4 linked regions of the Oreochromis niloticus genome follow. The protein of the gene in region 4 interacts with the protein of the main gene of each other region in a pairwise test. Links are inferred from orthologs where the notes say so. Each region holds a gene or a part of one and is shown on either strand. Other genes may lie near its edges. The genes, in order: wwc1, dpysl3, trim2a and tnika.

Region 1 (7,339 bases), on a different chromosome or scaffold from region 4:
ACTGCACAATATTGAAACAGTCTCTCCTACTTTTTTTTTTTAGAGTAAAACTTATTTATTAAAATTAACTCATTAATAAAAAATGTATTCATTTATTTCCAACATTTCAGAAAAAGTATTGCAATATTGTAGCAATATATTAAATTATATTACAAATGTTGATATTATAGCAATAATTATTACTGAATTCATAATTTATAGTGATGTGGAGATTTTTAATTTTATTCAAATATACTTTAATTTTAATTTATTATAAAAATAACACATATTTAATGCATATTGTCAAAATAACATTAAATTAAATCTGTTATTCATTTTTTAATGTTATGACCTGTACAGAACAACCTTAAGGACCTAAATAATTGTTTTATTCCAAACAAAATGAAGCCCTGAACACAGCTCCACATGTGTAAGGCCGCCGTGTGTTCTCTTTAAAACGTGCTTAAATCAAGTGACATTTAAACAACAATACAAAACCTTAATGTCTGTGTCATCTCCATAAATCCATCTCTAAAAACATGACCTTACATATGTGATAGGTGTTTATAAACTGTAATAAAAGTCTTCCTCCATGTACAGTCATCTTGCTTGTTTTGCAGATGTCTTCTGCAAAACAAGCAACAAGAAAAGCAGCAGTACCCCACAGTGATGTACCCCACAGTGAAGTGCACTGTGGGATTTACTGTTGCTGTAACCAATTACAATAACATTAAAAAGAAATATATTTCATGCTTCACTTCAAATTTAGTGGATATTTTATTCCTCTCATATAAAACAATTATGAAGGGAAGTACAGTGTTTGAATATTTCCTCCTGAAAAAGCAGCACAAATCTAGCAAAGTGCTTCATTAAGAAAGCACTGAAGCTGAAAACACGTCTGTTAGTGAGGGCGTTTTCTTTTTTTCCACAGTAACAGAGGCTTCATGGAGGCCTGATCCTGCATCCCACAGCAGGCACAGCTTTATTCACTGCTTCCTGAATACAGCAGTGCCAAAAGAGTGACACAGCAGCCGGGATAATGATGGAGAACCAGCGCCGTTTTCCCCTTTATAAAAGGCCAGTAGTGATATAAACCAGTTTAAAATAAAACTAAATAAAATGAAAAATACAAAATAAAATAAAAATAAAATGCAATTAACCCAAGACAGCAGTCAAAGTGATGTTTATTTTCTTTTGCAAATCAGTAAATCTAAACATAGTTTTAGTTGAATATGAGAAAATATTTTTTTGTGACGTTATGTTCTAAGTTGAAATCTTTGTATAAGTTTTTGTTGTTCAAATTTAGATGATGAGGAAATGATTAAGATGTAAACATAAGGGGGTAGGGCTAAATAAGTATATACTTCTGCCTACTCCTTTTTAAACAACTGCATGGAATGATATTATGAAATGTTGGTGAATGTATATGTTTGAAATAAAAATGAACTGAACTGAACTGAAATCTGTGATAATAATAATAATGATAATCATGGGTAACAGGTATTAGGGCACTAGTTCTGGGTCATATCTGCTCATTCTAGTGATTTAGACGACCAGATTAGTGCAGTGGGAGCTAATGTGGACTTTTTCCTACAGCGCTTGAAGGCATCAGAATTGTAAAATGTTAGGATGTTTGGGTTTCACTGTCAAACACAGCAGGTATTGATGTTACTGTGCAAAGCTTGGTGCTATATAAATATTCAAAAATTTGCGTACTGAACTGCAGCTCTGTTTGCAAACAGAACATAAAACATTGATATGCAAATGAATTAATCCAAATCTTTTGATTGGACATAGTCCAAAAAAAAATATGTCACATGATGTTCATTATGAATTTAGCAACAGCTAAGCAATAGAAAACTGTTGTTTAATTTGTTTAATGCTAAAAACAAACAAAAATTAAAATAACTGATGATGTGAATTAAAACCATGACTGGACATGAAGAAGAGCTTCGCCCAGAGTTTTTACAGATAAATATAGGGAGGGTTTCAGCTCTCTGTGGAAGACTGTGCATGATTCATTCATGGTACATAAAGTCGTTAAGATTCAGAGAAATCTTCATACACAAGGTTAAAAACCAGGCTGTGAGCCTCAGGCCTTCAGGCAGCACAGCACCAAAGACAGAAATGTGGTGATTCTGTGGTAGAAATCAATTTCTTAAAAACACGTCAGTGAATGCAGCTCATCACTGCGTCCTTCAGTTTCACTTGAATCTCTGTGAAGGAAAAACAGAAACAAGGCCGCGAGATAAACACTGCCGTGAAATTCAGTTTGGAAATCGTGAACATCGTGTTCTCAGGGCTAAAGAAGAGAGGAACCTTTCAGCTGGAGATTCAGTTAAAGTCAATTTAATTCTGAGAAAACCCCAACAATCAGATGACTCCTATGAGCACACGCTTTGGTGACAGTGGGAAGGTAAAACTCCCTTTTAACAGGAAGAAATCTCGGGCGGAACCAGGCTCAGGGAGGGGCGGGGCCATCTGCTGGATAGGATAAAGAGATGCTTTGGAAGAGAGCCAGAGATTAATTATAACTGATGATTAAATGTAGAGAGGTGTATAAAAACACAGTTAGTGAAGAAGATGCACCCAGTGCATCATGGGAAACCCTCAGCAGCCTAAGCTTAATGCAGCCATGCCGGTAACATCTGCACTATGAAGCAGTTTCACTCTTTGTTCTTGACGTTGGATTCTTGTGTGAAGAAATATCTGCACGATGGAAGAATCTGCAGGTGATGATAACCATCACTTCTCCCAACCTATTCAGCACTGCGGAATATTGACCTCCAGGGGGCGCTGTGGGCTTGAAAGTTTGGGCAGGCTGGGAGGTTTAACTCTGTAAATATCTGCTAACAAATAAGTGAATAACATTTAAAACCAGGCGTTATGAATAAAACACTAATGAATGAGCCACAAAACTGAACAAAACTTTAAGTATCACCATAACTCACAGCCTACAATGAAACTTTCTGTCAATAAAAATAATAAAAGTTATAAATGTGGAAGTTTATCTGGGTATTTTTGTTTTGTTTATTTGTTTGATTTAATTTTTTTTAGACCAAATAATTTAAAAAAGTACAAAACAGCCAAAATATAACGGTTAAAATTTACCAATAATAATAATAGTTATTGTTACTATTAATATAGTAATAATAAATAATAATCCATAAATATCCATATAATAAAAAATCTAAAATGAAATAGGTTAAGATAAGGACTTTTTTTTCAAAATTCTGAATGGATTCTTACTGTTGTAGTAGAATAAAAGTATAAATCATAAATAAAATTATACCACAAACTATAGAATATGCATAAATGCATAATTTGCATTTAAATATTAAATTAAGGTAGAACAGCAATGCTTCCATAAAAATAAAAATAATTTAATGAAAACAGAGTTACTGAGATTTGAAATTTTTGTTTTTGAAGTTTTTGCTTTCAAAATAATTCACTTTGATTCACTTTACAGAGTAGATTTGCTAGTTTTGCTAGTTTCAGGTGGATGTTTGATTATTATTTTTAATTATGAAAGTTGTTTGTCAGGAGCAAGATTTTGGAAAGTCGGAACAGCTGTTTGAATAAAAACACGCCACGTGTGCATTTCTATTTTACTGTAGGTTTTATTGTAAGTTCTTTCCACACTAAAGGCAAGTCTTTATTCTTAGTGAATTTTAATCTTGTTTGTTACTCACTTAACTTAAGTGAGTAACTTAACTCACACCTAGTCTTGACTTTTTCAGTTATAGCCTTTTTAACTAACGTTTAGCTATAGTTCACTACAACATTCTCTTTTTTTTTAAACATAGATTTTGTTAATTTTAGTGATATTTCAATACAATAACCAAAAGTATTTACATTTAATTTTTACCATCGCTATAGGCCTTTTACTATGTTGTGTTATTCATAGAACCCTGTATATTTTATTCTTCTTCCTCCTGCTTTAAAACAATAATTTCCCTCATGGGATCAGTAAAAGTACTTTTCGGATATTGTTTTGCCCGGAAGTCTTATTTTGTTTCCTGGAGTTTGTCAACAAATGTTTTATTTTGAAACCGGAAATCGGGTTGAGTGGCTGCAGTTAGCTTGATCGGTTCGAGCGAAGTCATCGGGACCGAAGAAGACTTTACCGCCGCCGCTGCCGCTGCCTCCCTCTGCCCGGCTTTCACCGGAGGATTTTTACGGGATAACAAAGAAGTTCTTCGGCTATTTAGCGGATTTTAACGGCTGTGGATTCTCCCGGTACTTTTCTCCTTTCTCCAAGCGGCGGGCGGACTGTTCGCTGTCCCGCAGGCTGGAGGCTAGCGTCGGTTACTGCGGCTAAACATGGTGGCCTGTAGGCACGGAGAGGAGCCGAGCCCCAGCTCTGCGGGTTTGGGGGTGTTTTAAAGGAACGCGAGGGCGTTTTGGTTGCTGCTCCACCCTTTTCTAAGTCTGCGCTTTGTTAATCTGGAGGTTTCTACTGGGCTCCCCGTGTGTTTCCGTTAAACCCGAGCAGCAAGACCACCGGCGGCAGCAGGACCCCGTCCGTGTTCGGCGGAGCGTGGATAATCATCCCGAAAAAGTTCTTCCAGGCCGCCTCAAAGTTTGCCATCGGACCTGGGAAACTCCAGACCGTCCTGGACACTCCTCCAGCTGCTGTGTTTACGTTACGGATGCTTTGAGGCTCTCACACCGGGATGAATTGTTGCACAAGTGCAGCCTGATGAAACAGTTTGTTTTACCCCCTTCCTCCTCCTCCTGTTCAGGGTCTGATTGTTAATCTGAGGATTATTATGGATTGTTACCATGGCCTAATCCAACCGGACTCTGAATTTGGGGACTAACTGCAGATGTAGAGGCTGACTGTGATGGTGATGATGATGGTATCTCTTCGCGATGATTCTGAGTAGAGAGGAGTTCATTACATGGAGACTCGCCTGACATGCCGAGGAAGGAGTTGCCACTACCTGACGGTTGGGAGGAAGCCAGAGACTTTGATGGCAAAGTTTACTACATTGACCACATTAACCAGTGCACGAGCTGGATCGACCCCAGAGACAGGTAGGACTGCGTGAGAACAGGTGCCGTCGACCTTTGACCTCTGGCAGATAGTCAAAACACATACATGTGATAAATACATGCCGTGTTAAAGGCTCCATTCATGCGGTAAACGAGGTGGTGTGAGCCTTTTAGGCCAAACATCGTTGTCTGTTCATGAAGTCAATACAGAGTTCCACACCATGTTTGCACTGAAGTACCTTGATATGGATTTAATGTGCAATATTTAAACCTGCTGAAGAGGCTTTTCTGTTTAGGGAACTGTGGCAGGTAAAAGCCAGTCACACTGACCCCAGTAATACCTGATTTTAGGGACCTTGTTCCCAGTTTTCTGGCAGGTTGTTATTTGATAAGACATCATAGTAAAATCAGTGGTAGCAGGGGATGGAGGAGAGTTGGTATGAACCTTCCAATAAAAGAGTTGCCCAGTGGCTGACCAACGGCTAGAGACCGCCATCGGCAAACCTCTGCTACCTTGCTTTGATCACCTGCAGTTTGCTTGGAGGACGCCCACTCATTTGCAAACATTCACCAACTAACCACCAAGCAATTGCATAGAACCTCCCAAAACTACTCGCCAACTGGTCGGGAATACTTTATTTTTCCCTAGCAACCGCTGGTTACCAGGGAAACACTGACCAGTCGGTTTCACAGCAACCACTCACAGCTGGATGGTGGAATACTTGTTATTTCCTAGCAACCGGTGGTTGCCGGGTAGTCTCCAGCTGGTGTGACTGAGGTGTGAATGAAATGGGTGGCTGCTGGAGTCGTGGTGGGTGAAACAGAAGGTAATGGCTACCTGATGAATCCGCATCACAGGTGTGCACAATAATTAATTAATTGCAGTGAAAGCCAATCACCTGTGTGAATTATTATCTGTAAATTAGAGTGAATGCATTTTATGTATATATATATACTTTGGTAAGTATGGGAAAAACTCATTTTTACCCAGTAATGGTGCTTTTATTGCTGCAGTGAGGCGGCTGGAAGCTAGTGAAGTATTTTTGAGCTCTTGGCAGCCTGAACATGTTCATTTATTAATGTTTAATCAGACCACCTAGACTGCTCTTAAATAACTTTTTAGCAACGTTATTATTTTTGGCATCTGGATGGTTTGTCATTTTGTGTTTGTAGTAGATAATTTTTGATATCTCGCTAATGATTAAACGGGTCAGTAATGAACAGCCAGTCCAGTGAGGTTTGTTCCTCCAAATAACTCACTCCAAATACCAGTTTACCTCTGGGTGAGGAATCATTCCTTCTCTCGGGAATAATCTGAGGATGGGAACCTCGAGCTGAGTGTGTCACAGAGCAGAAAGCCTCATTCAGTTTGTTAACCTGTCATAAAACCTTGGTTATCTCACAGCTCAGGATGCCAGAGGTGCTTTCTTGTTTGCTCGTTTACATTCCTGCTGTCAGGCGTGGAGGTGTGTTACCTGTTCTTTTCTCCTCTCTCATAGAAACCATCAGTGTAATAGGCTTAAAGAGGCGAGCGTGACACGGCCTCGTATGTTCAGATCGCCACAGCGCAGAGGGGAGGGCGGGTTTTCACTGGATTTTTCAGTCTTACCAGTCACTTAAGACCCCTCAGACTTTGACACCAAATCCCTTTAATGCCTAATGTCTGGAAATCTCAAGGGTTGTTTTTTTTTTCTTTTCCGGGTGACAGAACCTGGATTCTTTCCCCCCAGTGTGTTTGGTTTACGTTTGTCGCTCCGTTTGACTCCTGATTTCCACATTTTCCAGCTAAAACTACAAGAAATCAGAAGATACAGGAGCCAGTGGCCATCATCATCATCAGTAAGAGTATTCCTCTGACTGCTGCTGAGCTCTGCTTTGAGTTCATTTGACCACGTTGTGCCTGAGAAGTGGTCGTGCTTCCAGCTGTCTGATTAAAATGAGGATGATTCCATCTTGACTCCATCTGAACTGAGTCCAGAATAATCTGCATCCAGATTAGTTTGTGATATTTTCTTTAGAACATCTTTAGAACATCTGCCTGTTTTTCTTAATCGAGAACATTTGACTCCCAGAATCATTCCAAACCTCTGATAAAGTTTCCTGTAAGTAAACGGACTCAGAAAATGCCTCTGGGGGGAGGGGCTGACTCTGCATGGAGGCATGATTCGTCAGAAGTCTGTTTTACCGCATTTAACAGAAATCTTCACATTTTTCCCACAATTTCCAAGCATGTGATATTCCAGGAATGTCTGCTATGTTTCATTAAAAACTCTGGTGAATAAAACAGTTCGAAAACATTTTCTGGCAATCTTTAGACGTCCTGCAGGTAAATAACCAGACAAACAAGCCAAACCAATCGCAT
Region 2 (8,020 bases), on a different chromosome or scaffold from region 4:
TTTTTGTAATGGTAGTAGCCTATGTGCTAGTAATAAGCATCCGTATTCTATTGGATGGCCACAAAAGAACCAATATCTAAATGAATAATGTTTACTGTGTCTTAGTCTGGTGAAATACTCCTTTAATACTTAACGCTTCTTATATTTATACTACTTATAGTTATGTTACACTTGAAAATCTTTGATACCTTTTCCATTATGCTTAAAGTCCTTACAAAATATTTGGGAAACTCTACTGTTTAAACATTTGCATTTTAATTTTTGATATTGAGAAAAGGTACGTTTGTGTCTGTTATGTGTGATTAAAAATGACACAAGTCTTTCAGCACCATGGAGAGAGAGACACAAACAAAAGCACCACGGAAAGAATCCAGTGCTAAGTAAAGGTAATAATTACTTTATATTAGTGGTTCACAACCCATTTATCTGAATCAACCCAGTAGACCAGACAACACAACAGCATATGGATTCTCAGATGGAATTTTCTGAACTCATTTTATATACTTATACATAACACTTAATTACCCAAAAGTGGAAATTAATTTCTCAGCAATTAGTTTATTTTTTTTATTACTTAACCTCTTAACAAATTAATTCAAGTTATTTTACTAATTTCTGTACTACTTTCAGCTTACCATTGACTCTTAGCCATTACTTCCTACTTATTAGTTTTCTTCACGTAAGCTATTTATTGTCTATTTGAACTCTTTATCTGTGCTATTAAATTAAAAAAAAAATCAGCTGTTGTAATTTAAGCTGGCTATTTTATTGCTTTTTTAAAGATTTGTAATTATTCCTTTTTTGTTTAACATTTCTGCTTTGGTTGCACTCAATTAATAAATTTGAATTTTGTCTTTGGCAGATTAGTTGAGATAAGCTTTTCACATACTTCATGAACTCCTTGTACCCCTAATTGGAATTTAATTAGACTTACTCTCTAACTGTGCTATTTCAGTAAAAAAAAAAAAGAAAGAAAAAAAAAAAAAAGAAGTTGTTTCTGAAGTGTTTCCATATTCTATATTCAAGGAAAGAAAAGGAAACTTTTTTTTTGTAAAAAATACATTGGATAAAGTCAATCCATCAGGACTCTAAATGTATGAGTACTGCTTTTTGCCATAAAATAAGTGTGGGACAAGAACATGCTGATAATATTTGTACGTGTGACCTAGCAACTATGCTAAAAATTCACTTCATCCACTCTTAATTGACACTGGCTTTGAGCAGTACACTCTAGGCACCAAAAGATGATGATTCATGTCTCGCTCTCTGGCTCTTGTTCAACACACACACACACACACACACACACACACACACACACACACACACACACACACACACACAATTTTGGCTGAGAGCAGTAGAATCACTGGACTAGACAAAGTGGTGTGATTACCATTTTGCCATTTAATCACCAGAATGTGGTCATTTACTGGCACACAAGAGTACTTCTCTAAAGCATGGACGGAGAAAACAGATTTTAAAAAAAAAGACCAGGAAAGAGTTAAGCAGATTACACAATAAGCTAATATAGAGCAAGATGTCATAGATTACAGACAAATGGAATCTAATAAAAGTCATTATGGTGATGTCAACTCTAGAATGAAATTAGTAGCAGACCTTGGTAAACATTTTGAAATGATCCCCGCATAGTATGCTTGAGCTGAATTTCAGCTTTAAGGTTTGCTGTTATGTGCTACACAGCATTTAAGAGAATGTGGGGAAGTTTTTAAGAGATTTTCTGATTTTGGCTGCTAATATTTCCTACAAAGATTGGAAAATAATGGGATTGTCTCTTTACAGTTTAAAAACTTTAAAACCACAAAACTATCTGACACAGATTGCCTTTCCTGATGATGCAAGTTCTTCATCTTCAGATTGGTCACTAATTAAAATATGACTGCCTGCTGTTGTTTCTGCTGCACAGGCGGATCTGCACTCTTATTCAACTTTCATTTAACAGAGGCTCGGCAACAAAGCAGTAGACTCACAGACCTGTGTGTGAGTAATGCAAGTAAACTGACTGACGCTGTAGAGCTCTATCTCTTTGAGAACAGGTATTCTACATGCTTTTTTCCCCCACTGTTGCAGTTAAATGTGTTTCCTTTTTTGTTTACACCTCTGTGGTTCTAGTGCTGTTATTCATTCAGTCTCAGACAGTTTGAGACTAAGCTGCTGCACTCTACATTTAAGTCTTCACATTATCCTTGTGATATATTAGATTCCCGCCTTCTGAATCATTCCTGCCTTTAATTGCCCTAAAGTACTGTAAAAAATAAACATAGATTTCTTCAGCGTGGCAGGTGGCCTTTTTCCCTCATGTGGCCTGATACTGAACTGCAATATTGCTGCTCTCAGGGGACCAGATGATTCAGCAGAAACCAGCAGACAAGAGAGTAAGGTTGTGTTTTTGTTTTTTTGTTTTTTCCCCCTCTGGTTTGGAAATTGTTAGAGGACACAATGAAGGCAGGATGTGTTTATCCCTTTGTTATTAACTGGTACATTTAGCGTGCCAGTAAAACTTAACAGCATCCTCGTCTGGCAAACAAATGACGAGTGGAAAAGCTGCCCGTTTGTATTTTTATGACAAATGTTGTTACCCCTCCTTCCTATCTGAGTACACCGGGTTCACTTTGATTTGAACTACAGTAAGTCATGATATTATTGGCACTGTCATGCAAACTCTTAATATCATTCGTTGTTTTGTGGCTATGGTGAACTGAACTGCTCACTATGTGTTCCTGTGTTGTTCCCTGTTTGCTGTAGTAATACTGAACAATAACAATCATAATTATAGATTTTATTGGTTTTCCTCCTGTCTGGTGGGCTAATTAGTGCAGTGAGCTGCTGCAGTGGAGTGAATAATGGAGACTGGCTAACCAGATGTCCAGAGAGAGAGGAAATGCCCCCAACCCCATCTTTTTTTTTTTTTTTTGTGATGTCCTGCAGGGTGGAAGTCACATTGACACATGCATTCACAAAGCATAAAACTATACATATACACTGACATGTAGGCTTGTCTAAATTAAAACATGCACACGCGTGCCTCTTTAAGCTGTCACAGAGATACTCTAGGAACAAATGAAATAAGCACTCTACTAATGTTGCATATAACATTCAGTTTAGTCTTTATAATCAGCAGATAGAAACAGATGATGTCTGTGCCTCCCTCTGGTTAAGTCTGAAAAATAACTCTAATTATATTGGGTGCAGCAAAGAGATGCTGTTGTACCATAAATATATTCAGTGTTTTGGGAGAATGAATCATAAAAGGGACCAAAAATAAACACTAAGAAGAATGCTGCTTCATATGTCTTCATATCGGTCAAGACTAAGCACCTGATAGAGCCTTAAATGTTTAGAGTTAAGCAAAATTTTAGGAGGTTTAATTCTATGTTCTGCGTAACCTCGTTGCTTTATCCTCCCCCTGCATTTTCAGAATTGTCCCACTGCCACAAAACAACTCTAGATGATTTAGTCTTCTTCAATTCGCCAATGTCGTCTATATAAAGAGATCACATAGTGGCTGAGGTGGTCAGCATGATTGTGCTCGTGGGTAAACTGATAATATAATTTTATATGATTGTTGGGTAGTGAACTGGAAGCTTCTCAGTCCATTCACTGTGGTGTGAAATGTGCTCCAACAGGCTTGATGACCTGACAGAGACTTTTCTGCATCCCTGATCTGTCTGCACCCTGTCTGTCTGTCAGTGTCAGCCGGTTAATGTGGTCTGCAGAGGTAGCAAGCCTGCAAACTTGAGTGTGTAGCGCTGATGCATTCTCCAAGTCCTGGAAATGCTGAGGTAATGCCTTTCTGCCTCACTGCCATGAAAGGACATGCCAGGATGAAGGCCCTGTGTCTGCTTGTAGCAAAAAAAATGATTTAAACCCTTAGTTTTCTACAACAATTGGATATAACTGTGCTGTAAAGCCTTCCTACATTACTCTGTAAAGCAATGTTTTTAAAAAAAAGACAAAATGAAGCAAATGAAAGTATGATATATATATATATATATATATATATATATATATATATTATAATGCTAGTGTAATATAGACACACAAATTGGCACACCCTTTGTCACACACCTGCTCCTACATCCATGTCACTCTCAGGATCTCATTATGGCTGCATTAGAGCTGAGGAGGGGAGTGGCAGAGCGAAGAGGGACCCACTTTAGGTTCAAACAATGGAGACACATGGCTGGGTGGGAACATGCAGAGAGAGAGAGTGTGTGTGTGTGTGTGTGTGTGTGTGCAATGTTACGGGCAAGCTCTGTGACAGCTGCCACACCATTTTGCTCTTCTGTGTCCACCAAAACAAAACACACAATCTCCTGGTTGTGACTGATATAAGGTCTACAATTTCAAAGGGAATATTTTTTTTCTTGCCAATAAACCTATTTAGGAGACTGGCAAAAATTTAAACATCCAATATGTATGATTAACACACGGCAGTGAGGCCAGTGGACATGTTTAAAATAAGTAAATCTTTCCATTACATATTGTTTATAATAACGATGGTGATTTCTATCCCGTGTTCCTTTGTTTCCTCTTAGTTCTGCCAATTTTCCCCTAATCAATCAGACCTTAGTGACTTCAGCCGTAAACACACAGGCTCAGACTACACCACAAACTAGTGCGCCTCAAAACCAGCTGCTTCAAGGACTTTGCTATTTCTGAGGCAAGAGGCATCTCGGATAGGTCAGTGATGACAGATATTGGATACGCAGCACACTTTATGTAAAAAAAAAAACAAAAAAACAACGTGTGACAGCAGTGTAACGCAAAGAAGAGGATGCCGGCTGGAGGCTGTTCACCAGCTTCTCCACTGCGCCCTCCGGTGGAAAGATTGTGACATCACGCTTTCCAAACTGAGCATACTGAGGGAGGGGCCGTGTGCCTGGACCACAGACGCTCCCATAGCACTCTGCGAGCCACTCCACATCGCACAGACAAGAGGGGCGACTATTCCTTGAAGCTCCCATCCAGGCGAGGGCCGCTGCAGCATCCATAAAAGGGGGAATATCGCTTTTAAAAGCTCGGTATTTTTTTAAAAAAAAGAAAAGGTGGAATCGGACAGAAGATGTCTTATCAAGGAAAAAAGAACATCCCAAAGATCACAGTGAGTAAAGAGTTATTTCTGCTTCACTGGCTGCAGGAACTTTGATGGCTGCTGCTTCAAATCACTGCAGAAGGTTTTAGCGTTTTTTTGCGCCGCTGCGATGGATCTTTATCACATACACCGGTGCAAGCCCAGAGCAACATGAAAATGCTCTTTCTATTGTCAGAGCCGACTGCAGGAAGCCGCTGGAACAATGCGCACAATGATATGGCATGTCTGGCTACCATAGTGACAGTCAGGCAGGGAGATAAGGCGTTTTCTTAAAGGTGTCCTGCATCCTCTTTGTTGAAGCGATCCATGCCGTTGTGCAGAACGGATACCGGCTCGCCCATTAAAAAAAATCACTGTAAGGTTTATGCAGGGAATTCTGCTCTTCAGTGCATAACGGAGACTTTATGGTGATTTAAAATATGTAACTCATTCTTATATATTTAGAATAATGCAGTTAATTAGATTTATTCCCCTACACTCCACCTAGATTTACAGCGTAAAGATATTAGAAGAACGTGTCCAACCCTTGTGGGGCTTTTTAAGGCCCAGATGGTCTTGTTCATGGGAGGATATTGAACAGTAATGTTGATCTCATTTTTCGAATACCCTTCTTGCCATTTTGGTGCACAGTGATTTAATGACATACATAAAAGTATCATGGCACATTCTGGTCACAATGCCCTGGATGCTTGCAAATTAGTGAAAAAAAAGGAGGAGGGGGGGGTCCTAAAAATAATGGTCACTTATTATACATTAACTCATTGTTTCTCTTGAAGCCCTTTATTGTTTTATTGCAGAAAAAAGCCCTCTCTGTGATTTCATAGGGGGGGCCTCAGAAATCATAGACAGGGTTTGTCTTTCAGGCTGGTGCAGCAGCAGAGAGTGAGAGGGACAGGAGGAAAAGAGAGGTGGGGGAAATACACGCCCATCTGTGATAAGCTGGCCTTGTGAAGGGGCGCTTGTGTTTCTGCATCACCACAAGGAGAAAGATTCAGGGTTGGCTCAGAGCATTCAGGGTGGAGCGGGGTGGGGGGTTGAATTCAGGGCAGACTGGTGTTACACAGCCAGCCAGCTGGGTGTTGGTGTGTGTTACAACTGCAGAGGAACCTCTCCCTCTGCTTTTTTTCTTTCTGTGTGTGAGCATCTGAAACGCCTGTTTTCCAGCTCTCATTGTTGAAGCTCAGGCTGCAGTTCGGGGTGTGTTGCTCAGATGTGGGAGACTTTGCCTTATTCTTATCTCCTCAGCTGATTGTACACAATGGGAGTAAACTGAGGGATTTTTTTTTTTTGTAAATGTTATTACTGTAAAATTAGGAGATGAAAATACGTGAAAATAGTGAAGGCATTTTTAGAAGAGCTGGTAATTTGAATGGCAATAGTGTCTAAAGAAAATGATGTTTTGTAGGTTTGAGGGTTTTAAACATGCAGAGGAAATGCTAATTGTGTCAAAAATACACACACATGCAGCAATAAAGTAACAGCAAAAGTAACATGAGTAAGCTACACTGGTTCATCGCCTCAAGATATATCATATTTGGTTACTGAGCTTGCTTTTTTGTGGATTTAGAAAAGCTCCAGTTGTAAGCAGCATATTAACACAGGCTGACAGAAAGTACCACAATACAAGTTTTTCATGGACGTCCTAAAGCTGCTTCATGCTGTTTCAGTTGAAGGGGAGTAATTTATGATGTAAGCAGCCACACTTTTCACTGTTTTATGAATTTAATTATGGTCTGATCTCAACATATGGGTGACTATTCCAACAGTATTTAAGTGCTTTTGAAAAGTGATTTGAAACAATGTCTGGGTCAACCACTGAGTGGGTTCCTCCCAAATCTGTTTGCGTCCAGTTGACAAGGTAGGGTGTACTACGTTCTTTCCTACATCCAAGTTATAACCATAGCCTCTAAGGGTGTAGGGAAAAAATCAGTTTGGCATATTGGATTATTTTGTGTGGCGATATTGTATAAAAAATATTGATAATATTGATATTAATAAATGAATAAATAACAAATACTTGAAAATATATTAGTCTAACAACAAGCGATGACCCTGGGCCCCAAGAGGGCTCGTCTCCTGCACCATCATCCTGAGACAAGGTTAGTCGAGCAAACTTACCATAAATTGGACACACTTAGCTTGACAGAGTATAAAATTTCCACTTGATCTTATTCAATTGCAGACTCATGGCAGACTGACTCCATCTTATGGCAACATTTATGGAAGGTTTTAGTGACAGTGTTGCTTGACAGTTTCATTTTGGAGCAAAAAACCCCTCCCCAAAAAACGATGTCGATAACTTTATGTTATTGGATAAAACCGATATTGACAAATTCTTACTTTGAGGACATCATTTGCAGTTGAAAAAAGGTGATAAATTGCAGTAGATGTTATTGCAATACTGAGCTTATCACCAAATGTTAAAAATTGCAATAATATTGTATCGTGAGTGAAATATTGTGATAATCTCATATCGTCGGGGGTCTGGTGAGTCCCACCTCCAATAACTTTATGAGAAATGTATTTTATGTCCAACAATGTATGGACTAACAACACATGTTGTTGTTTGATTTGGAGTTTATGGCAGTAGTGATTCCCCTCCAACCATTTGATCAGCTTCTTAGAAATGCAAACACACAATACTTGCATTATTGGTTTATGCACATGCAGACAAGCCAGGAGAATTGAAAGTGTCACGTTGTTTCAGTAAAAGCAGACTAAAGCAAGAACCTCTTGTTACAAGCACAGACTGTTGTCTTTGTCTTTTCTGTATCTAAACCATAAACATGTATATAAAAGATGGCCATAACCTTCTTGTCTGAGAACTAAAGCCAGTACGGAGGAACTTGGATTCTTTGTTATAGCCAACAAGGGCCGAACTCTTGGGTTACAAAATGAGGTCATACT
Region 3 (8,276 bases), on a different chromosome or scaffold from region 4:
AGAAAACCTCAGGCCTACCAGGACCATAACAGAAACTATTATGTAAGGCTTTCTGTGGTCAACCGGTACAGTGAGTGGTGCAGGTTCAACACTGGGCTGCATCTCTTCCACTACAAAGCATGAGATGTCAAGCAGCTCGTGACTTGGCACGTTTATCTCCAGATCGAAGGCGCTTTAGCCATGTGCGAGGGATTATGCTCCTCTCAATCCCTCCTTATCCTGCAGCTCAGGGCGACACCTGAAGAGCCAGCTCCTGACTCTCACTGCTGCAGGTAGTAAAAGTCTTCTCCCTGGTGAAGGTTAGCCCGGTTAGTCAGAGAAGGTCTAATCATTCCTGGGTTTGGAAGGGTTGTTCAGTGGACAGAAGAACAGCAAACAAACGCTCTCCTTTATATTAACGTCATGAAGCAGACACCTGGGATCAGACACAACAGGCGTGGTCCCGTACAGGACGAGGACTGAATCAGTATGCCTAAGAACGGAGTGAGTCGCAACCTCTGTAGCCTCTGCATTTTTACTGCAGCAGTTGTTTCTGCAAGTAAGAAGTTAACATGAAGTCTTAATATTTGCATTTAGTTTTCTCTGATGTTAAGCATCAAAAGCCACAAATGAAGCTGTAAAATGAAAATCACCTTTGGGAATTTGGAGCTGATGCAGGGTCATCTGCGGTTTGATAGTTTACTTTTTTAACGTCATGTGTTATTAAAGTCAGAGCTTTACTACGCTGCCCTGGTGATGACCTTACTCTGTATCACTTTAAAGGACATGCTGTCACTGCTTATTAGTCTCCCTCCATCACTGTGACCTTTAAATAAGCGTGTGCCTGTAAATGCTGTCTACAGCCCATAACAACATGCTAGGAGTTTCATACTCATGTACTCATACTTACTACACCCTCAGGGATTACCTGTGATTACAGCACACAGATTAGCTGCCGGTTTGGATGCAACTGCTCAGATTTTTGAAAAAAATAAGTGAAGCAATCAATGACCCTATAAATACAACCAGTGGGTTAAAAGTAAGTCGGTAACAGAGCGAGCGAGAGTCAAGAGCTGATCTGAGTGGGGCTTTCTTCTGTCTTCAGATCTTCATTACATGAAGATGTGGTGAAAGTCAAGCCCCCAGACTGACCTCACAGCACAGAGAGGAAGTGCTCCGGAGAGAAGACTGGAACAGAAACATGAGGTGAGGGTGTTTTTCATTCACTGATATAAAACATCTCCCTCGTGTTAGTTTACTCAACGCTTTTCAAATGATGTGCTGCAATAAGACAAGACAATCTTTGTGTTTATGAACCAACGTGATATTCGGACCATATTACCTTGTGAGTCACTCAGTTTTTTAAATTCTCCTTTAGTCCCTAAATTGCAGTCTTTTACACTCACCAGACACTTTATTAGGTACAGCTCGATGTTACTGGGTTCCCTTTTGTGGCATAAATTCAACAAGGTGCAAGATGTCTGCAGCATCACACAGTTGCTGCAGACGTGTTGGCTGGATCGGACATGTTTAGCAGCAATACTCAGGTGGGCTGTGGTGTTTAAATGATTAGCAGCTGGTAAGAAGCGCTTTTCTGGTGTGAATTGTAGCCTCAGTTTCCTGTTCCTAGCTGACAGGAGTGGCACTCGGTGTGGCCTTCTACTGCTGTAGGTGTGCCTTCTTAGTCGCTTGACACAGTCTGGCCATCCTTCTCTAAACTCTCACATCAACAAGGCATTTATGCCCAGAGAATGACTACTGACTGGATATGCTTTGGAGATGACAGTGTGGGAAAATCTCAGCAGACCAGCTCATCTGACGTGAACAACCGTGCCACATTCAAAGCAACTTAAATCACCTTTTTTGCCCGTTCTGCGGCTCGGTTTGAACCTCAGCAGGTTGTCTTTACCACGTCTAGGTGCTGCCCTGTGATTGTCTGATTAGATATTTGTGTAAACAAGCAGTAGAACAGGTACCTAACATAGGTGCGTGTATGTATTCTGTTTCAAGCTTTTGGTTTTACTACACCACAAACATTTTGCTGTTCTTTAGTCTTACTGTACGTCTTGTCAGTATCGGTAGATTGCCTGGTAACTGTGCAGTAACTTCAGTGTACATTTGCCTGCAATAACCTGCAATGATGGCCAAATTAAAGCCTCACGCTGGGCATTTGTAATGTCTCAATCATGTGTTCCAACAAACAGCATGAATGAAACAAAAGAAATGTTCAATTATTCAGCAGCCATTCACAGAGCCCTCTGCTAATCCGGCCATGCTCCACTGAGCTAATAACAGCAGCAGGTGCGGGCAGCTGTGACCGGTGTGATATGAAATTATGGTCAAATGGTAAAACTCCAGTCTGGCCTAAAAATAAAAAGCACTCTGCCAGAGCATGGCCACACTCTAGTGTGGACTTTATTTACTGTTTCTGCTCTCCTGTGAAGATTTGATTTTAAAATGAATCAAGCTTTTTTTCTGGTGACATCAATCGATTCACATTTTTATGCCAAGCTACATCTTGTTGTGTTATTTGAAAACTAATTCAAGCTGCTGTCGTGACTCTAAACCAAACACTGAAAGAACCAAAGCAAATCAGCCGTGGAACTGAGTGCATGGTGTTTTTAAGGTTTAAGTTCTGAAGTAATTGGACTTTTCGTAAATATTTGATGTTTGTATGGCCATGTCAGCGCCTTAATATTTACTTTAAAGATTAATGTTAGACTTTTTCAGTCCATTATGTGCATTTAACACCTTTATTTTACTTTTGTGTACTTTTGGTGTAGATTTAAGTAAATAAGAATTAATATAAAAATAAATGCTGGTTACTGCTGATGCTAATGAGCTTTCGCTCACGTACTCTGAATGTGAAATTTTACATGCACTGGTGTGCTTTTGTGTTCTGGTGCCTCTTCAGCCTTTATTAAAACTCTTTTTAGGCTGTCACTGTACCGCTTTAGCTGTGAGGAAACAGAGGTGGGATGCTGAGAAGAAAAGGAAATCTTTGCACTGGGCCTGTGATTGTGCATCGCATGCTAAACAGGTGCCCTTTGACTGTGGCACACACACACACACACACACTGCCTGAGTTTTCTAAAATAGTAGTGAGGCCTTCAGATGCGTCACCCTTCCCCCACCTCTGACGCACACCAGACAATAAACGCTACACAGCCTGTTCCTGCATCAAACGCAATCATTAATGGAAAAGGAATGCAAATAACGCGATTCTTTCTTTCTATTTAATCTGAAAAGAGTCTTTCATGGGCGGCTGCATAATGTAGAGTTGCCATGCAACAGCCTCCCGCATAAAAAAGGGAGGGGCTTGACAGGAAACCACAATTACGACTGGCGCTTGGACGCCCATCAGGAGTCCTACTAGAAGCTGGAATTATACGACCAGCTTACATTCTTTTTAACTCAATAAAAAAAAATCTTATCTATTTATTGATTGATTGGATAAAAAAAAACAACATCCAATACAAATCCATCCATTAGATTTCTTAAACCCTTGTCCTGTTCAGGGTCAAGGCATGGCTCAAGCCTATCCTTATTGTATGAAGAGCTGGGAAAACTCTAGACAGTTAACCATGGTATAGTTAAATATTAGCCCACAGACAGCTTAGTTTAAGCCATCTTAGCCTAATTTAAAACAAAATGACAGCTAACACGAACATATCTATTGTTATATCGCCTGCTGGTTTTGGACTCTGCATTTCGAAACCTCAACAATGGCCCGTTAGTGTTTTGTGACAGACGTGATAACATTTGAAGGAGAGCAGGAGCTAGCAAGCATAATTAGCAAGCTACACCCATGACCTGCAGAGGTGCCATGCACAGACACATAGTTGGTTACTTATGGAGGGCCTCGTTGGCCGAAATGAATGAATTAAATAGAATTCATTTTGGCACTCTAGGCCCTCCGTAGTGGTTCAGTACCACACTTAGAGTAGACTAATACCAGAACTTTACTCCTTAAAACTTAATCAAACTTTGCGGCTGGTCTGTAGCGCACACATAGCCCTGACATAAGTCAGATAATTCTATAACAAATGCTTCAAATGGCTCCAGCAGCACAAACACTGTGAAGTTCACTTAAAGTTCTCCTCACACAGAAAACTATCCTACAGCTGTCTGTGTTTGCATACCCAGCTCCGAATCCAGTTATTAAAAAAATCACTTCACTTCTCTGCAGACTTGTGAAGCTACCCGCAGAGACCAAAATCCCATTTTGTATCAGACTGTAAACTTGTTTGTTTTTTTGTTTTTTTAATTCTGTAAAGTTAAGCATTTTAAAATAGGATTGACTCACTAATGGATTTAGCCTCAAGTGGCCGCTAGAGGAAATGCAGTTTATGACACTCCATATTTTAGCTCCAGTGGTCACTTGTCTGTTATCTGGTGAATAAATAAAATAGGGTCACCTGTAAAGTTGAATGAATGAATAAATAAATAGAATATTCAATTAAAAATCTATATAGTGCCAAATGACAACAGCTGACTCAAAGGCTTTATATTGTAAAGAGGCTACAATAATAAATACGGATGTTAGCTAGCAGTTGATGGACGGCTGACGATTTAAAGTTTGTTTGTTTGTTTAATTTTTTTGGCTAACTGTCCTTTGTTTTATTTATTTCAATGTATTTTTTCATAGTTACTTTAAATATTAAATTACTAAATGTGAGATGTTTGCCTCAGAGAGTGTGTAAGGAGGGTTTTTTTTGCCACATGACAAAACTACGTTAGCTTTTAACTTACCCGTGCTTCCTAACTTTATACTAAACTATAACCACTGGTATTTCTTACCTAAATAACCCTAAAACCCCGGTCAGTCAATGTCTTCATGCAACTTTTGGCAACGAAAATAATTATTTTATTATTGTGTGTGTGTGTGTGTGTGTGTGTGTGTGTGTGTGTTTAAATTATGTAGAAAGCCTACTTTTCTCTTAAATGTATTGTGGTATTAGGCCCGATTCCCAAGTGATAAAACAACAATAAATACTACAAACAGTTTCCTCGGTGAGCCACAGAAGTACCAAACACTGAAGCAGAAATAGAAATAACTCTTTGACAATCGGTTATTTTTACACGTGAATGCATTATTGATGAGTTCAGACTGCCTCCGGATGCTGTTGCCTTTCCCTTTTATTGTCAGCGGATCCCTTTAATAAGTGAAGTGGAAGTGAGTTGAAGTGGCTCTCGGTTCAGCTGTAGTGTGAGCGCAGAGCAGCACGGAGCGGAGGACGGAGGGAGCTTAAACGGGAAAATCCCAGCAGATGACGATAACTGCTTGAAACATCCTCAGTTTCCGCGGATAAGTCTGCCTTTAGGTAAGTGGAAAACATCAGCTGTGTCTGAACCAGCTTTAGGATTTGGCTTAACGCAGTCAGAGCTTCAGAGGATTCACATCTCTGTGTTAAAATGAAATGCATCCAAACATATAAAGTGCAGATGTCCAGCTGCTGGTTTAAGAGCGCAGGTCTGCAGCGGGACAACAGCGTGCCTACGTCCGCATCTTAAATCTGCGAAAACTTGAATGAACCACTGATGCGCTTGTGGTGAGTGCTGGGGAGGAAGGATCGCATGAGTTCCGAGGCATTGTGGGATTTTGTTTGGCGTTTTCAGCGCGTGTGTTGTCTGCACGTGTAGTTCTCTGTGAGTATTTACAGTTTGAACTTCAGGCTTGATCTTGAAGTTTAGCTGTCACAGCGCAGAGTCTGGCATGAGTAACGCTGTAGTCGCCGCACTGCACCTGATTCTCTGCTGCTTGTGACAAGCTGCTGTTATTTCTGCAGTGAAACGTGTCTGACCGTCGGATTCATTGAGAAGTCATCTGATTTTAGCAGGATTCATTAAAAACACTGAGATGAGAGCATTTCTGCAGATTCGGATGAGTTAGTGATTTATTTAAATAAAAACAGTAACAGTAATTTTTCAGGGAATAAATGAAATAACTAAATCTTGAATTGACATTTTGACACCATATACACCTGGTTGAACGGTTTATACACTGTGTGTTGATTTTAGAAATTAAACACGCTAATAAGTGACCCTTGGACTTGTGCTCTCCCTCTGCAGTCAGTTTACAGATATAAGAAACTTGAATTGAATACTAAATGAATCCTTTGATCAAAGGTGACCAGAGAAGTCTTTGACTCTGTTACACTGATGGGGTTTTACATTAATTTTGGGAGTTTCTACGACATTGCCATCATTATTCACAGTGGACTGTCTCAATGGCTCATCAGCAAGCCACATTCATGTCATTGTCATGGATTAAAGTGTGATTACATAAGCCTGCCCTCTCTGTCCACTCCTCTCTCTTATCCTGGCTCTGTGCGACAGAGTCTTTGATGTCCGAGCAGAAGTTTTCCTATGGCGGGCTGTTCTTTCTGTTGTGACATCAGAGATGCTTCAATGCAGTAAATGGTTGTGGGAACAAAAAGTAGAAAGTGGTGTGGTAAGGGCTGCACAATTCTGCCACCGCTGCAGTGGAGCATCATCCTCGTGCTAATCGGGAAGTTTTGGAAGGAAGGGATTCATCTTCAAGCTTCTTTTTCCCATCATGTGACTAAGTGGCACCGGAAGCCACGCGTGCCCATCCATCACATCCCACCTGATCGTGAGCTGTTCTGAGCCTACCTCATCGTTTTGATTCAAGTTGACATTAGTCTCATCTGTCCAGAAAAGGTAAACTGGGAAATGAAACGTGTCATCTGGACTTTGTGTTCTTACGTCTGATGAATAGTTTGTTGAAACCTCTGTGATTATTGTTGTGAATTCTTCTCTTCATGGGATTATTATGTGCCTAATCATATAAAAAGTGAACAGTCTTTAGTGAAATGTAAAATGCATTTTGTCGATAAACGTGTTTAATCACTCGTGATATTTAAAGAATAGTTGAGGTACGTTGTCTTGATACGCAGTGTGTAGTGTCAGCAGTTGCAAAACACTTATTTTCCCTCAAATCCACCCCTCATTCTCATCCATGTCAAAGAAATTACTTATTTATTACTTATTAAATTACTTAGAAAAAAAACTATGAATAAGCAATAAAGTAGCACACACCTAATAGCAAGTTACATGACAAAACATCTGTTTAGCCATAAATATATAGAAAATTTTAAGATCATTTGCAACATAGATACTCATTAAGGCAAATGTAGCTTTGTTACAGTATCAATCAGCAAATAACCCTGATATCGACTGACATATTTTTCCATTACATGTCGGCTGGTGGTGTTAGTATTGATGTTTTTCTCGTACAGTGACTAAAACCCCCGAAGGCTTGCTGTTCTGCACTGTTGCACTGTGACATTGTCACCCCTCAGGATCAATGGACCCAGCTCTCTGAGCTCTGCCAGAGCTCAGAGTCTGTGTGGTTAAAGCTAAGTGATTAAGCTAGAACAACAACCAGCTTAGTCACTCTTTACTCGGTAGTAGCTCTGAGTGTATCTGAATCATTTCTGTGACTGCAAATCAACAGGAGAACGAAGGACTTCTGAGTGACATCGTTTTTGAAAGGGCAAACAAACACATTATAGATTATGTACATGAAGTGTGTTGGTGAGCCTATTATTAGTGCTGATGTTGCATGGTGTGTCCACCAGGGGGCATGCTGCAATTTTCCGCACACAACAACTAACAGCTAATCCGAGCAGATTCAAGCGGAGTGGGAATGAGTAAATAAATAATTACACGTACCAAATGATTGGAGAATCTGTTTATGTGTTATAAACAGGTTCTCCAGATTCAATACATATTTAATTTTTAAATTACCAAATATCGGTATTTGTATCGGTCATAAAAATCCTTCTGATCTGTTTCTGATCCAGCATGCAAGACTTAACACTATCTTTTGGTCATCTCCAAATAATGAGGACCTCTGAGGTAATACTACAAGTTAAAGGCAACGCATATTGTAGTTATATGTGCATGTGCATGTGAAAACCTTTTACTTACTGTCTTTGAACATATTTGCACAGAGAGGCATTCATACCATTATGAGCATTAAGGCTGCAAACATATATATTTTGGGTCAAGGGTATTGTTAGTCACAATACAGGATACATAGGATACAATAGTGATGACATCATACGTCTTTCTTATCAAGTCATGGACAGTCCCCCCCCCCACCCTATCATGTGACCTATTGAGGTCACCTGACGCAAGATGTGAGTGGAGGTTGAAAGGAAGGGAGGAGATCTTAAGACTGCAATGTAAGAGGAACCTGAACCAGCCTAATAACTAAAATGAACACGTGAGCTTAGAGATGGTCTGCTTAAACTAATTAGGTAAATAAA
Region 4 (7,956 bases):
AAATCCGTGGCTTCCTAGTGCAATTTCCTCTGGACTTCCTGTCTGAGCATAATCTCATGCCCTCTGTTGGGACAAAGGAGGCCATGGTTCCAACTGAGATCTGGACATGAAGGGTTTCAGCCCCATTACCCACAAAATGAAATGGACTGTTCCTTGAGAAGACCTCCTGTGGGAAGCCTCTGGGTGGTTTTTCACAGTTTAATGATGATAAATGTTCAGTACTGGAGTCAAAGAGATCACTTCTGAATAATATATTTCTGAGATGAAAGTCAGATTAACACTTTGTCTTTTTGCTTGATACGATTGCTGAGCAATGACAAATCTCTCAGATCTTTTGCTACTGGAAGACACTAGACAGTAGTTATACCTTGTTAGTTTTTGGATGTATTATGTGAAGAACACGGGCATCTATGATAGCAGTGTGACTGCATTCAATATGTGGAAAGACAACATGAAGACTGGGTTTTGGGAATCACTTTATCTTAAATTCTAGATGCTTAGACCTTTGAACTGTGCAAAAAGCTCATAAGATGGCTAAAGCTTGTATGGGACCATGATGATGAAGTCTATAACCAAATAATGACACTAACAGATATTCAGCTCTGTTTAGAAATCACAAAATCTAAACATTAGAGGTGGTAAAATGTGATTAACTGAGTTCTTTATGTACGCCCGTAACATGCATTAGTGCCATGTATGCTGTTTATGAGCTCACGGAAGAGTTCTCTGTTAAGTATGTGCTGCTTTTGATAAATTATTTAAATTTACAAGCATGTAATCTCAGAGGTGTTTTGAAGATTTTGTTTGTGTAAGAAATTGAAGATATGCTTGCTCTTTGCTTTGTTTCCAACTGCACAGAAACAATGTTACCGTTTCGAGAGCAGTGCACAATTTACTAACTATGCTGAAGTCTGATTGCCATGATGCTTGTACCAATCGCACCTCTGAGAAAAAAAAAACAAAACCTCATCACTGACATTTTATTTGTTGTTGAAGATGTTTTGTGACCTGGTAAAATGATTCGAGTGGCTTTTTAAGACAATCGGCGTGTCCATTTAGAAGAGAAATTTCTTCTTTGTTCAGCAGATGGTGCTAGCTTCCTAAAAATCAGTTGCAAAATTAGAAAATAAGATCTCAAGGATCTTTAAGGTCCTCTTGGTAAGTAAAAATGGATTTTGAACATTGTAACAAAAACAAACAGCAAAACTACAGCAATTATGTTTGTCATTAAGCATGCAGATGAAGCTGGATGTAAAGCTTTCGTATGAAGTCAGGCTTTGAAATTGCTTTGTTCCAGTTTCTGTGTAGTTCCAGATTGAAAACAGCATTTCAAAGACTTTATTTTTTTGTTTTTATTGTAATGTAACAGTTCAGAGTAAAATGACCTTTTCTCGAGATACTTGCGATAGGTGATCCACGAGCAGTTTATATATTTTGTAAATGTGAAAATATTGACTCGTGTTACCCAGTTTGTTTTCATTTTTAATATTTTCCACGTTGTCTTATTTGAGCATCACCATCCCCTAAATGTGAAGATAAATAACCACTTCTTTAGAAACTAATCACATAGTCGGTTAATTATGACACATTGGAATCACAAGGTATTTAACAAATCAACCACATAATTACTTTGACCTGGCATAGAGCTCCAGTTTTGTCATGTAAAGGCAGCACCCTTTGTTTACCCAGTGTGTGAATCATTGCCATTTATGTAAGAGAAAATGACTGGGACCACAACATTGGCAGATGTAAAATCAAGTGCTTCTATTTGAAAATTATTTCTCTTTGTTAGTAAAATGATAAAAAAAAACTTTTACATTTTAAACTGTTTTGAATTTGACATTATTGTCTGCTATGTTTATTATTTATGGAGTTTAAAGAATTGAGCATTCTTTAACATTTATTTTTAAATGTATGTCACGTTCACATGGATGATTTTGGACTCGTTTTCTTTTTCATAGCCACCTTGAAGCTGTTCTTTCTGTAAACTCTCTGGACCTCTTGCCTTCATTCAGTTAATGTACAATAACCTTTTTGTACAGTTAAAAGATTTCCGATATCTATCTGTTCATTTGAAACTATGTAATTAAAATGACTAACAAATACGCATATCTTTGAACTTTTTGTTTCCTTTTTACGTGAAAATAGGCACATCTATGAAACTTGATCATTTCTAAGATATATGGCTTGACAGACCAGCTTCAATAATAGGCTCCTGCATAATAATTTCTTATAATGCCTGTGTGACTACATTCCCATCTCTAGTACACGTCAATATGAGTAAAGCAACGGCTCTCGCTCCAACTGTGAAAAAACAGGTAGGTTGTTGCATGAGAAATAAGAACTGTTGAACCTGTTAACCCCCAGAAAACAGCTTCTGCATGGTCGAAGAATGTGAGCAAACATGTATTTCTTTTCTCATGAAACAGTGAAATCAGCAGCAGTTGCAATATGGAAAATAAATCAATATGTTTCATTAACTTTGAAAACAAAAGTTGGGTGCAAAAGCTAGGCTGGAGGACATCTTCAGTTATTTGGGAATATAGTAGGAAAGTCTATACTGTTGTATAAAAGACCCACTGTTTATGAACCAAACATTAAAATGTATATGGAGAATTACAAATTGCTGAACATATATAGTGGAAAGTGGTGAATAATATGCTAAACGATTGTTTTTTTTCTATTGTGAAAAATCACAGGGGCGTTGGCCAGTTGTGTATGTGTGCAATCAGCTCTGCTATAGCAAAAGAAGTACTAACAAACCAATTTGTTGGTTATGCCCATAAGGAGCATAAAAGAAATAGAAAAACAAAGGCTTAATTTTTATGTTTTTCCATTTGAAGGCAGTTGAGTACAGAACGCTCCTCCCTTCTCTCGAAAATGACACTCCATAAAACTCAGGAGGCCTGATTCAGTAGAATGTCGTTGGCTGCATGTTATGGCATGTGAGATGGCCTAGTTGCTTGCTGGTTTAGAAACATTGACACATAAGGATATAAAGCGACCTGATCGGAAATTCAGTTTATTTGTCATTAAGAATTCTCATAAGCATGTGACACAGGTTTTGTGAAGTCATGCATGGCAGTACTCCAAAATGTGACAAGAAAAGCCAAAACAAAAAAACCTCTGATCTGCTTGAATGTTTAAATTCTCTTCAAAAAAAAAAAAAAAAATCAGTTTGAAATAAATGGTGTAAAGCCAAAAACACACAGCTGGAAAATAATTAATTTTCAATTTTCTCTTCCTGAAAAGAGCTCCCTTTCTCTTTCCTTGTTCCTTGTTCGTATTTTTGTTTGGACTTTATGGAAAAAAAAATTCACCTCAAAGCTAAACATACCTTCCTTAGAAAGCTCTTCAGAAAAGGGTATGATGAAAACCACTGAAAAGGAAGTTCCTTTCACAGGTATGTCAGTGTGGAATTTTGTGTTTTGATGTCTTGATGTTTCCATCTGTTTTCTACTGGCATGCTTTTGCTTGCTTTGCCTAGTACTAATAATATTAAACTACACTGACTGAATTTGGATGGAAGTCAATGCTATTTTTACAATGTACTGTAACGTAAATACTTGGAAACTTTTTTCCTCCACACTCAACTCACTCATGAAATATGCGAGAACATCTTATGTTGCTGGTTTGGTTAATGATGATAAACAAAATCCAAGGTTCTTGTTTGACAGAATCAGCAGACTCCTGTGGGACAACCTCGCTTAGCCTCTATCAGGTCGACTGATAACTGCTGAAAACACATTTTTATAAGCGTTCCCTTAATTTCCCCCTTTGCTTTGGGCTATACTTTATAACTATTTGTATGTATGGAAGTGTGTATGTTGGAATGAATGTCTGACCGTACTGTTGATTTAATGTCCATTAATGTGTCTGTATGTTTGAACAGGCATACTTAACTTTAATCTGTGGCTTCTATTGACACTGTGAAGCACTTTGTAGAAAAGTACTATACAAATAAAATTATTATTATTGTTATTATTTTATCAGTAGTAGTAGTATTGTTGTTGTTGTCGTTTTTTTAAAATAATTGATTAATAAATAAATCATTTACTGTGTTTTTCTTGTCTCTTGCTTGCCCTCAGACAAATTCAGGGGAACCTAGAGTTGGATCCAGAGACCAGAGAGGTTTCGTCTTGTCTTTGGTGGAATGAGAATGTTATTCGTTGTTTATCATGTTTCCACAGATTTATGAAAATGCTTCAGGCTCCTAAGTGTAACGGGAAAGGGGTTGCAAGGTAACAGGAAACCTGATAAACAGACACCAGTTCAGTTGCCTTGTGTGTTTACATTTGATGGATTCAATAATTATCTGTGTTTGTGTGTGTGTTGGGCCAGGTTACATTTTTTGTGATTAAAATATACCGATTTTCCTGAAAAAAATGAATAAATAAAGAAAATACACATAGTGTTCTATTTAATCAAAAGTACACAGGGAAATATAAGCAACAATCAGAAAGTATTTCTTCAGTCAGTTTCTTTTGTTTTGTACAAGGACATTGCTATTAAACACGAGGAAGAAAAAAGTTTGGAAGTCCTCGCTGCCTCAGTAAACCCCGCCCGGTAACAGGCGTGGTTTGCTGAGGGAAAGCGGCTCCCACCTCCCTCCTTCTCTATATTTACTGGCTGGCTGTCACAGCAGCTTCTGTACCAGAAACAAATCAGTCTCCGTATTGCTTCACCTTACTCTGTATGGTCTACATCCCGCAGACATGGACTTCCAAGTGTTGATGTACACGGTGCTATCGCTTTCTATCCTCCACGCGTTTGCGCTCTAGCTGTGCGCTCCAGGCCCGAGGAGCGTCCAGCTGCTGACGAGAAAGGGACTGATATTATTTTGTCATCCATTGACACATCACTGTGCAAGAGAGAGGGGGGATAGTAGACCTAGCAGCAGAAGAGACCACACAGTCGTGACAGCTAAGACCGTTTCTGGATATCGGACAACAGACAGTGGCTTTTTTGTGTCCTCCATCATGGCGAGTGACTCTCCAGCACGGAGTCTGGACGAAATCGACCTATCTACTTTGAGAGTAAGATTAATTTACGTTTAATTTCTGTTAAAGAAAAAAAGAGAAAAAGAGTGTGTGTGCGTGTCTGTGTGTAAGAAAATTGATGTGTGCGCTCGCGCGTTCCTCCTTCTCTTGCACCTGACAGTGCTCCCTGAATAACAACCGGCACAGAGCAGAGGAGGCTGCAAAAGGCGGATGTGTGGGAGACGGGCCGCCACAGTGTGTCAAATTATAGATCAAATTATATATAGACATTAACCAACATTACAGCTGGCTTGCACATCTGAAGGCTTATCTTCATTCAAGTCAGTTACCGGAAGGTCGGTGTTGTGTGTGATGCTGAATTAAGGTTGAGGCTGTGATTTTGCTGACCTGGATAGGGGGTGTTGTGTATCTTCTTTCAGTGGGCCAGCCTATTATAGCCTCATCAGAATTGATTCAGAGTGGAATTTAACCTATTTCTACCACACACTGCTGATTCTCGTGGCTTGTGTATTGTAAGAACAGGACAGAAACTGCTTTTAAGTCAAACTCATATCTATCCAGATTTTTTTCTCTCTTGCTGTTCTTCATGGTATTTACTCAGTGTGTGTGTGTGTGTGTGTGTGTACATGTGTGTGTGTGTGTGTGTGTGCAAGAGAGAGAGGCAAGCGTGCCAACCTACCTGTAGTCACTGTAACCTACTCAAAGTCACAACTGAAGCCTTGCATGCTGCAATAGCCAGTTCTTTTGTTCATCCAGTATGTGCTGTAAACCATAATACACACACACACACACACACACACACACACACACACACACACGTGCACACAAACAGACAGGCATACACAAACAGCCTGTGTTTATGTGTGGAGACCCATATTTTCACTTCATTGGGCAGTACGTGTGTTTCTAATGTGTAGGTGTCTGCCAAGCTGATAGTCAACTGCATAAAGCAGTAAGGGATGCTTCAGCTAAAGACCCGTTTGCCGCTTTGAGAAACAAAACCACATCCCTCTTGCTTTGTCTCTCTCACACAGCGCAGTTGTCGTCTGTTTGTGCCCACATGCCATTTTTGTCTCCAGTTCTGTCTTTGCTGGTCTCTTTCTTGCTTCATGGTTTCTTGCCTATTTGTTTCTGCTTCACTAACACCAACTCATCCATCTACCTCCATTCCGTTTCTTTTCTATCAATTTCATCACCTGTTTTTCTATCACCTTGTCTATCTGACTGACTGAATGTACCTCCCTGTCTCTCTGCCAGTCGTTCTGTCTCCTAGCATTATGTCTCTGCGCCCACGTCCTTGCACTGCTTGAAAGAAGAATAATATTTCCAAGGAATTGTGAATCAAGTGTTTAGGAAAATAAGTGCTACTTTTTAGGTTTACGCCTAGCAAAATTTCATCAGCGGGACGAGCTCTATTAAAGACAGAATGGAAAGAGAAATCTGAAAGAAGAAGAGGAGTAGAATAAAACAGACAGAGAAACACTGAAAGAGGAATGAGGAGGCGAGTGGGAGTTCAGCCATGGATGCCTTATTCTTTAGGAGGCAGGATTTCAAGTGTCTGTCACTGTGACTTAGAGGCAGCTTACAAGGACGTGCAAACACATCCAGATGCTCATGTTTGCCTTTACATAGAAGTGCATTTAGGAGTATGGGAATATATAATTATGTCAAATGATTACTACTATCTTAAAAGTAGTGATGAGTTCACAACACTAAGAGCCTTAAAGGTTTTAGGCAAGACCAGTAGGTTAGTTCAAACTTTCATTAGCCTCAAAGCTAAGATTCTATTATTATTGTTATTATTATTTTATTTTATTTATTTTTTTCCTATGTTAGATATTTCATTTGATGAAGTGGTACAGCTCTAAAAAAAGTTTTCATATTTTTCATAAAAATAGTGCTTGAGTCAAAAGATGGAAGTGGAAAAAATAGAAGAGAAAAAATAGAATAGAGATTTCCTACCACCATAATGCTACATTAGGGGAAGCCAGAACCTTTATTTTAATATTTTTCCCCCAAACTATACTCCAGCTATTTCCTTTGTAATATTATGTTGTGAATGTCTTTTGTGATTTCCTCCGTAACTAAGTTACACAACCTGAACAACATGTTCTACAAGCTGAAATAAACAATGATTTCCAGAGAAGTCTTAAACAAACCAAGGTTTGTCCATTCAACATGTACGAACAATACCTATCTTCCCGAGCAATACACACGCGCGCACACACACACACATAGACAGACACACACATGGTCTAAGATGAATTTACAGTCATCCACTGCTGGACTGGCTAGACAGGAAGTAGGTCAGCTGGCTCTGACGAGGTGGGTAGGGTTGAGTGGGGGCTTATAAATACTGGGCTTGGTGATGATGGTGGGGCATTGTGTTTTAAAGTCTATATGAGTGTATGGTTGGGGGGGGTGGGGGGCTGTTCCAGGGCTAGAGCTTCCTTATAGGCACAATGACCATCACACAGACACACACACTCATAAGAGACAGACAGAATTGAGTGGGAAGTAAAGTGGAAAGAGAAGTGGCTTTTCATGTTTGCTGCCTCTGCACTTTTTCCTCTCTTGCTTTGTTTTCATATGCCTTGTCAGGTCTCTGCAACATCTGCTGGTGTGACACATCAACCCTGCGGCACCTGCATAGATGCATCATGTTTCATTTTAGTGGGGAAGGCCAGACTGACTAGAGGCATTCACAGAAATGTTTCTGCTGTGGCCCATCTTACCATGACCCACAATAACCATAAAAAAATATACAAGGTTGAATACTTTAAAAATTCTTTAAATACAGACAGTGGTTCTTATGCAAAGTGATGCGAACACACACAGGTCAGAGGCGTCAGAAGCACAGGCTCATCTAGTCAGCTGACGAGAGCAACAGATGGCAAACCAGCAGGAAGTCCAGCCAGAGGAATACACACACACAGACACACACAGACACCACACA

The links.
Region 1: the proteins of tnika (region 4) and wwc1 interact in a two-hybrid assay, tested with the Homo sapiens proteins (2 studies listed by BioGRID and IntAct). The link is inferred for Oreochromis niloticus from reciprocal best matches to the Homo sapiens genes TNIK and WWC1.
Region 2: the proteins of tnika (region 4) and dpysl3 interact in a two-hybrid assay, tested with the Homo sapiens proteins (2 studies listed by BioGRID and IntAct). The link is inferred for Oreochromis niloticus from reciprocal best matches to the Homo sapiens genes TNIK and DPYSL3.
Region 3: the proteins of tnika (region 4) and trim2a interact in a two-hybrid assay, tested with the Homo sapiens proteins (2 studies listed by BioGRID and IntAct). The link is inferred for Oreochromis niloticus from reciprocal best matches to the Homo sapiens genes TNIK and TRIM2.

Annotation. Positions count from the first base shown.
Region 1 is NC_031975.2:30,434,841-30,442,179, forward strand, and holds the start of wwc1 (protein KIBRA), read left to right. Parts: upstream 1-4,043; 5' UTR 4,044-4,900; coding exon 4,901-5,019; intron 5,020-7,339. UniProt on the Homo sapiens protein: Regulator of the Hippo signaling pathway, also known as the Salvador-Warts-Hippo (SWH) pathway.
Region 2 is NC_031975.2:21,370,548-21,378,567, reverse strand, and holds the start of dpysl3 (dihydropyrimidinase-related protein 3), read left to right. Parts: upstream 1-4,907; 5' UTR 4,908-5,083; coding exon 5,084-5,122; intron 5,123-8,020.
Region 3 is NC_031971.2:13,887,866-13,896,141, reverse strand, and holds the start of trim2a (tripartite motif-containing protein 2), read left to right. Parts: upstream 1-5,198; 5' UTR 5,199-5,303; intron 5,304-8,276. UniProt on the Homo sapiens protein: UBE2D1-dependent E3 ubiquitin-protein ligase that mediates the ubiquitination of NEFL and of phosphorylated BCL2L11. Plays a neuroprotective function. May play a role in neuronal rapid ischemic tolerance.
Region 4 is NC_031983.2:19,799,833-19,807,788, reverse strand, and holds the start of tnika (TRAF2 and NCK interacting kinase a), read left to right. Parts: upstream 1-4,615; 5' UTR 4,616-4,979; coding exon 4,980-5,036; intron 5,037-7,956. Other genes in the region: pld1a (phospholipase D1a), read left to right, coding at 1-110. UniProt on the Homo sapiens protein: Serine/threonine kinase that acts as an essential activator of the Wnt signaling pathway. Recruited to promoters of Wnt target genes and required to activate their expression. May act by phosphorylating TCF4/TCF7L2.